Linked DNA regions of Elephas maximus indicus. The protein of the gene in region 2 interacts with the protein of the main gene of each other region in a pairwise test. Links are inferred from orthologs where the notes say so. Each region holds a gene or a part of one and is shown on either strand. Other genes may lie near its edges.

Evidence for each region. The genes of interacting proteins can lie anywhere in the genome.
Region 1: the proteins of LDLRAP1 (region 2) and PSD4 interact in binary tests that used the Homo sapiens proteins (3 or more experiments, as listed by UniProt). The two-hybrid records come from large-scale screens. The link is inferred for Elephas maximus indicus from reciprocal best matches to the Homo sapiens genes LDLRAP1 and PSD4.

What each region holds. Positions count from the first base shown.
Region 1 is NC_064835.1:42,477,873-42,481,616, forward strand, and holds the start of PSD4 (PH and SEC7 domain-containing protein 4), read left to right. Parts: upstream 1-992; 5' UTR 993-1,069; intron 1,070-3,744. UniProt on the Homo sapiens protein: Guanine nucleotide exchange factor for ARF6 and ARL14/ARF7. Through ARL14 activation, controls the movement of MHC class II-containing vesicles along the actin cytoskeleton in dendritic cells. Involved in membrane recycling.
Region 2 is NC_064821.1:66,002,896-66,006,639, reverse strand, and holds the start of LDLRAP1 (low density lipoprotein receptor adapter protein 1), read right to left. Parts: upstream 2,709-3,744; 5' UTR 2,607-2,708; coding exon 2,519-2,606; intron 1-2,518. UniProt on the Homo sapiens protein: Adapter protein (clathrin-associated sorting protein (CLASP)) required for efficient endocytosis of the LDL receptor (LDLR) in polarized cells such as hepatocytes and lymphocytes, but not in non-polarized cells (fibroblasts).

The DNA.
Region 1 (3,744 bases), on a different chromosome or scaffold from region 2:
AAGACAGTAGCTAAGTGTTTACCTCTAGAAGACAGGCCTGGGTTGCCTGGGTCTAAAGGCACTGCTGCTATGAGACATGCAGTCTCTAGCAGTGATGGGGGAATCTCCCCGGCATGGACTAGAGCTTGGGGCAGGGTGGGGGCCGTTGGATCCTCAGCAGAGGAGTAGGTGGTAGTTGCAGCTGAAGAAGTAGATTGTGTTGAGGAGAAGAGAATGGGACAGTGTGCTCCTCACCAGCATCAGTCTCACACTCGTGCATGCCTTTGGTCTGTATCCCATGGAATTCAGCTGTTGGGTGTGGATTTTTATGATCAGAGGCTCTGAGCTCTAATCCAGCTTTGTGACTTGCCAGGTGTACAACCCCAAGCAGTGAGTGCCATAACCTCTCTGAGCCTGCTTCCCTATCTGTATCACAGTATACTAATGCTTCATAAAGTAGGTGAGGGGTGATTGAGATGCTACTGGTGAACACTTTGTAAGCTACAAAGTGAATGTGTCAGCTGTCATTATCACTGACATGAGATGCAGCCACGCAAAAATGGAAATGCTCTTTGCTAAAAAAAGAAAAAGGAAAGTCACCCCACCTGGAGGCCCCCCATCTCCCGCGAGGTGCCCTGCAAAGAGCAGAGAGCTGGAGCAGAGATGAAAACCCAGTGACAAGAACCACAGAGAGGAAGGAGGTGGCGCCTGCTCACAGCCAGGGCACTGACACCTTCCCCTTTCTCTCTCCCAGGCCTTTGACTGAGTGAGAAGGGCAATCCCTGAGGGCTCTTTCTGGGCCTGGTGCCGAGCAGGGTGGGGGCCTCCGGAGAGCAGGGGTATGGGGAAGGGGACCAGGAGGCCTGGGCCTGAGAGTGGAGACCCCGGTCTTGTGGGCAGGAAGTGTGAGGTGCACAGCAGCTAGGAGCCTGGGGAGGCAGCTGAGCGGGAAGGGGTGTGTGTACTGGTGGTGAGGGGGGAGCGGAAGTCGGAAGCTCCAGCTGCCACACTCAGGGGGCGGACGGACTGTGCAGCAGGGGCCGCTCCTGGGGCGCCTAGGCTAGCTCACCCCTTCTTGGGCTATTCAGAGGTGAGCTTTGGGTGGGACCTGGGGGAAGCAGTCTTTGGAGGCCCATGTGTGGGCCCTCGTGGCAGAGGCTGGGGCGGGTGGGCAGGAATGTGATGAGGGCTGTGTGGGACGTGGTATATGCCCTGCTGCGTGCGTGCACACTAACCGTGAGCCTGGCCTTGTGCTAGAACCCCGGCCCTGCCCTTTCCTTTACTCTGTCCCCCTACCCCATTCTACTTCCCCTCCCAGTCTGGCCCTTTCTCAGATTTCCTGTTCTGGCCCCCCACTCACCTCAGTGGTCTGCCTTCCCATGTCTTCAGTTGTGAAGGGTAAAAGGCCTGCTGTGGGCCCTTGTGACCGCTGTGGTTTAGTACCTATGGGGTCTTTCATGGCCAGAGGCCCCAAGGGAGCCTTCACCCAGACCCTTGAGTCGAGGGAAGGAGGGAGGCCAGACTGGTCAGGGTTTGTGGGGAGCTGGTGGGCAGGTTGGGTGTCATAACTGTAGGAACAGGTTAGACTCAAACTCAGCCGTTATGGCTCTCCCAGCTTTACTTTGCCTTTTGGGCCCCACCCAGAGGCTTGGTTTAGTGGTAAGGAACGCTGCTTGCTGGCCTGCCGGGACAGCTCTGGTTTAAGCTTATCGTCCTGGTGTATTTATTAATAGTACCTATGCCACTCTCCAAAGTGTCCCTATTTATTATCCTATGGTGAAGGGAGCCAAGTAGAGGAAAGACCCCCGTCCACTGTCTCCAAACATCCCCTTACTCTTGGGCCTGAAATCCAAAATCCCCCAGTTGGAGTCACTCTGCTAAAATGCCAGGAAGGGGGGCCTGCCATCAGTGGATGGTAAGTGCTACCAGCACTGTGGTACCTTCACCAGGTTTAAAGGAATGAGCCCTAAGCAGGACTGTCTGCCCCACTTCCTGGGGCACCAGGACATCATATCACCCCTCTTCTGCAGATAAGGACTACACCCAGCACAGAGATTAAAACCTGGACTGCTGAACTCTCTGTGGCAGGAAGGTGAGAGGTCCAAGGAAGGGGTGAGGGAGGGTAGTGAGGATAGAGGGTGACCCCTCTTGATGGCCTTTGTCCTTCATGGTAGCAGCTGCTCTCGGTTGGCACCCAATCCTCCCATCCTCAGGGCCTGAGCCCAGGCCGGCCCCACACCACAGGGCCTCAGCACCACTGTCCTCTCTCTGCGCATTTTCATGAAGGTTCCTTCCGGTGTGGGCAGGATGTGGGGCCTTCCGTACTCATTTCTCTCACGGTGCTCTGGGCCCAGGTTCAGGCAGGGGTTTCTGCCCTGGGATTCCAGACTGGGGAAGGTTGGTCTACCTGTGGTTCCTGGCCTCAGGAGCTGACACACCTCACCCATCTCCTGCCCGGGCTCTGCGGGTACAGGGTGGCCACCACTTGTATCCCTTGATAGGCCAGGATCCTTCGCACTTTTTCCACAGGGAGGAAAAAATTTTAAGGGTAAAAGGAAGCAATGCTTGCTTGCTGAGTCTGGAAGCTTAAAGGGGATGTAGAGGAGAAAGAGAGACAGAAAGAGGCAGAGACAGAGATATAGGCACTCTGGAAGGAATGGTTGAGGGCAGCCCCTTGCGGAGCTGAGAGCTGAGGGCACCAATGGGCTGAGGCAGTGCTGAGGGATTTTTTTTTTTTTTTTTTATTATTGTACTTTAGATGAAGGTTTACAGGACAAACTTACTTATTCAACAGTTAGTACACATATTGTTTTACGACATTGGTTAACAACCCCACGACATGTCAACACTCTCCCTTCTTGACCTTGGGTTCCCTATTACCAGCTTTCTGTCCTCTCCTGCCTTCTAGTCCTTGCTCCTGAGCAGGTGTGCCCCTTTAGTCTGGGTTTGTTTTATGGGCCTGTCAAATCTTTGGCTGAAGGGTGAACCTCAGGAGTGACTTCATTACTGAGCTAAAAGGGTGTCCAGAGACCCTACTCTTGGGGTTTTTCCTGTCTCTGTCAGGCCAGTAAGTCTGGTCTTTTTTTGTAGGTTAGAATTTTGTTCTTCATTTTTCTCCAACTCTGTCTGAGACCTTCTATTGTGATCCCTGTCAGAGCAGTCAATGGTGGCAGCCTGGCACCATCTAGTTGTACTGGACTCAGACTGGTGGAGGCCATGGTACTTGTGGTCCATTAGTCCTTTGGACTAATCTTTCCCTTGTGTCTCTAGTTTTTTTCATTCTCCCTTGCTCCCGAAGGGGTGAGACCAGTGGAGTATCTTAAATGGCTGCTTACAGGCTTTTGAAGATCCCAGATGCTACTCACCGAAGTAGAACGTAGAATATTTTCTTTATAAGCTGTGTTATGCCAATTGAGCTAGATGTTCCCCGAGACCATGGTCCCCAGCCCTCAGCCCAGTAATTTGGTCCCTCAGGGAGTTTGGACGTATCTGCAGAGCTTCCATGACCCTGCCTTGTACAAGCTGTGCTGGCTTCCCCAGTATTGTGTACTGTCTTACCCTTCACCAAAGGTACCACTTACCTATTGTCTATCTAGTGTTTTTCCATCCCCATGCCTCCCCTCCCTGTGACCATCAAAGGTTGTTTCTTTTTGTGTGTAAACCTTTTCATGAGTTTTTATAGTAGTGGTTTCATACAATATTTGGCCTATGGCAATTGACTTATTTCACTCAGCATAATGCCCTCCAGGTTCATCCGTGCTATGA
Region 2 (3,744 bases):
ACTGGGCTTCAGCTTAGTACCATCATTTAACCATAAGGCTCAGACCAACAGCACTGGACCCAAGGGCCTGGCTGGTTATGACCTAAGGCAAACCTACCCCCCACCCCTCATCCGGCACACATTCCACAACCTCCCTCCCTGCCCTGTGACGACTACTGTCCTCAGGGGCACCAGCTCTACCCACAGCCACAGAGCCCACGGGACACACTGGTGAGACCCCTGGGCTGGGATTTGGAGCTCTGCCTCTTGGAAGCTCTATGTCCAGGACCAATGACACCACTTCCTTGAGCCTCAGTTCCTTTATCTCTAAAATGGGTCTGATGAGAAGAATCCCCTGCTCCGTCACTTCACAGGAGCAAATGAAATAATGGAAGCAAAAACACTTTGTAAACCATAAAGTGATAAAGGCAATACTTAGCATTCTTCCTCCTCCTCTATGCCAGGTGTGATTTCATTTAACCCCCACAAAAACATCCAACTCCGGTACTAGTGTTATTTGCAATTTACACATGAGGAAACTGGGGCTTAATAATGAGAGATAGGTGGGGATTTGAACCCAGATCAGTCTGGGCACAGAAGGCTCAGGACCAGCAGCACTCTGGGCTTACTAGGGAGGGCGGAGGCTCTCCTCTTCTCTCCTCTGCAGGTGACCACAGGCTTTGAGCCCCCAAAACCTGTTCCACTGTAGGATTAATCATGTGGAAGGTCCAGAGGACAGGCAGGGGGAAGGGGAGGGGAAGACAGAAACCACCAATTAGGTGTCAGGAGGGGGTGCTACCATCAGTAATCTTCTAACACCCTGGCTGGGAAAGAATTTTTATCCCAGTTTTACAGATGAGGAAACAGGGTTTATAAAGGATAAGTGACTCACCCAATCAGAGCAGGCAGGAGAGACTCTTTTCCACAGCAGCTCTCTCGTCCCTACTCCAGATTCAGAGGTGTGGCTAAGCTACCCTCCCTTGCCCAGGGCCCACAGCCCTCCTTACTTCATAACCACCTCCCTGGGGGCTGCCCCACCCACCCTCTCTCCCTCATCCCAGAAGAGAACCACAGAGTTCCCCCCGCTGGAACAGACCATCATTCTCAGAAGCAGTGGGCAACTCCCACCCCTGGTGGAATCCCACAAATATGTAAAGGGGATATTTTGGGAGCCAAGAAGTATAGAAGATGGTCCCTGCCTGGCCTGGCACTCCCACCAGCAGGCACCAGCCCAAGTTCCCGATGTCAGCCTCATCTCATATAGGAGGCGGCTACAGCTGGAACAACAGAGTGGGGCAAGAGGAGGGGCAGGGCGGACTCCCTAGGCCCAGACACGCTGGCACTCCTAGGAGAGGAAGCTCGGGCTCCCCTGGTGGGACCAGGGAAGGCAAAGATGGACCGTGTGTGTGTGTGTGTGTGTGTGTGTGTGGCTGTACTGCCTGCTGTTTCCTGGAGAGGGGAGAGGCCTTGGCCAAGATGACACAGAAGGAGGAGGAAAAAGAGGAGGAGGAGGAAGAGACCAGGTGAGGGAAGGAGTGTGCATGAGTCCTGGGCTTTAAGCTCCACATCTGCCAAGAAGGCCTCTGTGACCCCAGGGAAGCCACTCCACCTCTCTGGGCCTCCATTTCCTCTGGTGAAAAAGGAGGGATCTGGGCTGGGTTTCTCAGGCCTCAGGGGAAGGTGCCAGGTGACGGGTTGCAACCAGAGACAAGTGAGAGAGATGGGGCAAGGAGGCCGTATGAGGCCCCTCCCGGCCTCCCAGACACCCCTGGGAGGTGGCGGCGAGTCTGCCGTTTGCCTGGGCACCCCCGGGACTTCAGAAGCCCGAGGGCGAAGGTGCGAGAGAAAACAGGTTTCAAAAATAGCCAGGACGCCAACTTCACCACCTCAACCCGGCTAGTGGAGGGGAAAGGGGGTGTAGATCGCCCGGTGTGAGGGACCTACGTACAGAGACCCAGGCCGAGCCTCGCCCCAACCTCAAGCAGGTACCTGCAACCCCAGGCTCACACCTGGGTGGGTCTCTGGGAGCCCAGGAGTCAAGAGAGGATCTCGTGGGTCGGACTGGGGCAAGAGGCAAGTGTGCTGCCACCCCCGTTAACGTCAGTGGTGGCGCAGGGGTGCGAGGACCCAGGCATCTTCCCAAGCCCCTGCGCCCAGTCCCCTCCCCGGGCCACCGACAGCGAGCTCCCGCCTCCCCAAAGCTGTGCAGGACAGCTCAGGTTTCTTCTCCTGCCCTGCAACCCCGTCCCACTCCCTCCTGCACCTGGGCACCCGGACATGCGGCCTCGTCCCCCGATGTCTGTCCTTCCTGCCCAGCTGCACAGAGCGGGGGTGGGGGGCACAGCTTGACCCGGAGCGACCCCCCAGCCCCGCCGGGCCCCGGCACGGCCGCCCCAGCCGCGCGCCGGGCAGGACGCGGGTCAGGCCCCGCCTCTCCCCAACTTCTCCGAACTGCGGGCAACGCGGGAGGCCCATGAGCCCCGGCCCGTCCGCCCTGGCCCGACCCCTGCCTGGCCCCGGGGGACGCGTGCACACTCACTCCGGTGCCGGCCGCCGCCCCCCCAGCTCTGCTTGGCGAGGCTGGGGCTCCGGATCAGCGCCCGCCCCGCAGACTTGAGCGCGTCCATGGCCCGCTCCGACCGCCGCCGCCAAAACTCCGCCAGGAAAAACTTTCCGCCGGGGCCGGGCGGCGCGCGCTCCGCGCTCTCCCCTCCCCCGCGCGAGCTCCGCGGCGGCGTCCTGGGGGCGGGGCCAATGCCGCCAAGCCCCGCCCCGCCCCGCCCCGCCCCCGGCGGCGCTACCTCGCTCCGCCCTCCCTGCCCCCGGGGCTGGGCGCGCCGCGCTACCTGGCGTAGTGCGCCTTAAAAAGCCAGTAGCTGTTGCCAGCGAGTGGTTTTTAACTCTTAGCGACCGTGTTAATACAGAGCAGAACTGTCCGTAGGATTCCCAAGGAGCGGTTGGTGGATTTGCACCCCTAAAATAGCGAGCTGAAAGGAAGACGGCTCCCCCTTTCCCTCCTTCTCTCTAACCCCATTCCCCCCACCCCATTGGAACTGGCAGGTCCGAGGGCCACCGCCCCACCGCAGGACTCTCCCGTCGGGACGCCCGACCCTAGGATTTCCTAGACAGCCCAGTCGAAAGGTACTTGGAGACCACTTTGTGGATGGGAAGACTGAGGGCCACAGAGAAGGGCCCTGTTCAGGGACAGAGGGCGGCTTAGAAGCAGAGGGTGGAGGTTGTAGAACTTTGCTGGAAATGGGCGGGAGTATAAAAGTTTGCCTTAGCAAGGCCAGCTGGCACCTTACCCACATAACACTCGGGCTGCTCCCTGGCACCACCCGGGCACACTGTGCCCATCCCCCGCCCCCCCAGGAGGCCTCAGAAGGTGGTAGGGCCTGGGGTGTTATGTCTTAGCTTCTGACACTGACTTGTCCGGTGACTCGGGCAAGTCCTTGCCCTCTATGGGTCTTGTTCTTTATCTGTAACATAAGAGGGGACCCCATCACTATTGTTCCTTCCGACCTACCAAGCCACCCCGCCCCCACCCCCACCCCGTCCCTTTTTCTAGGAGGCCCCTGGAAGGGCCAAGGAGTCTCCATTCCGGAATTCCTTAAGCAGATGCCCTAACGCCAGGACTCTAGAACTGTGACTCTGTAGGATCCTGTGACTTCCTGTGAGACTGCCAAAAGGAGTCTAAAGGAGAGTATGTACATTCAGGCCCATGGTCTGGCCTCTTCTGGGTGGCAGTGCCTCAGCCAGGCGAGC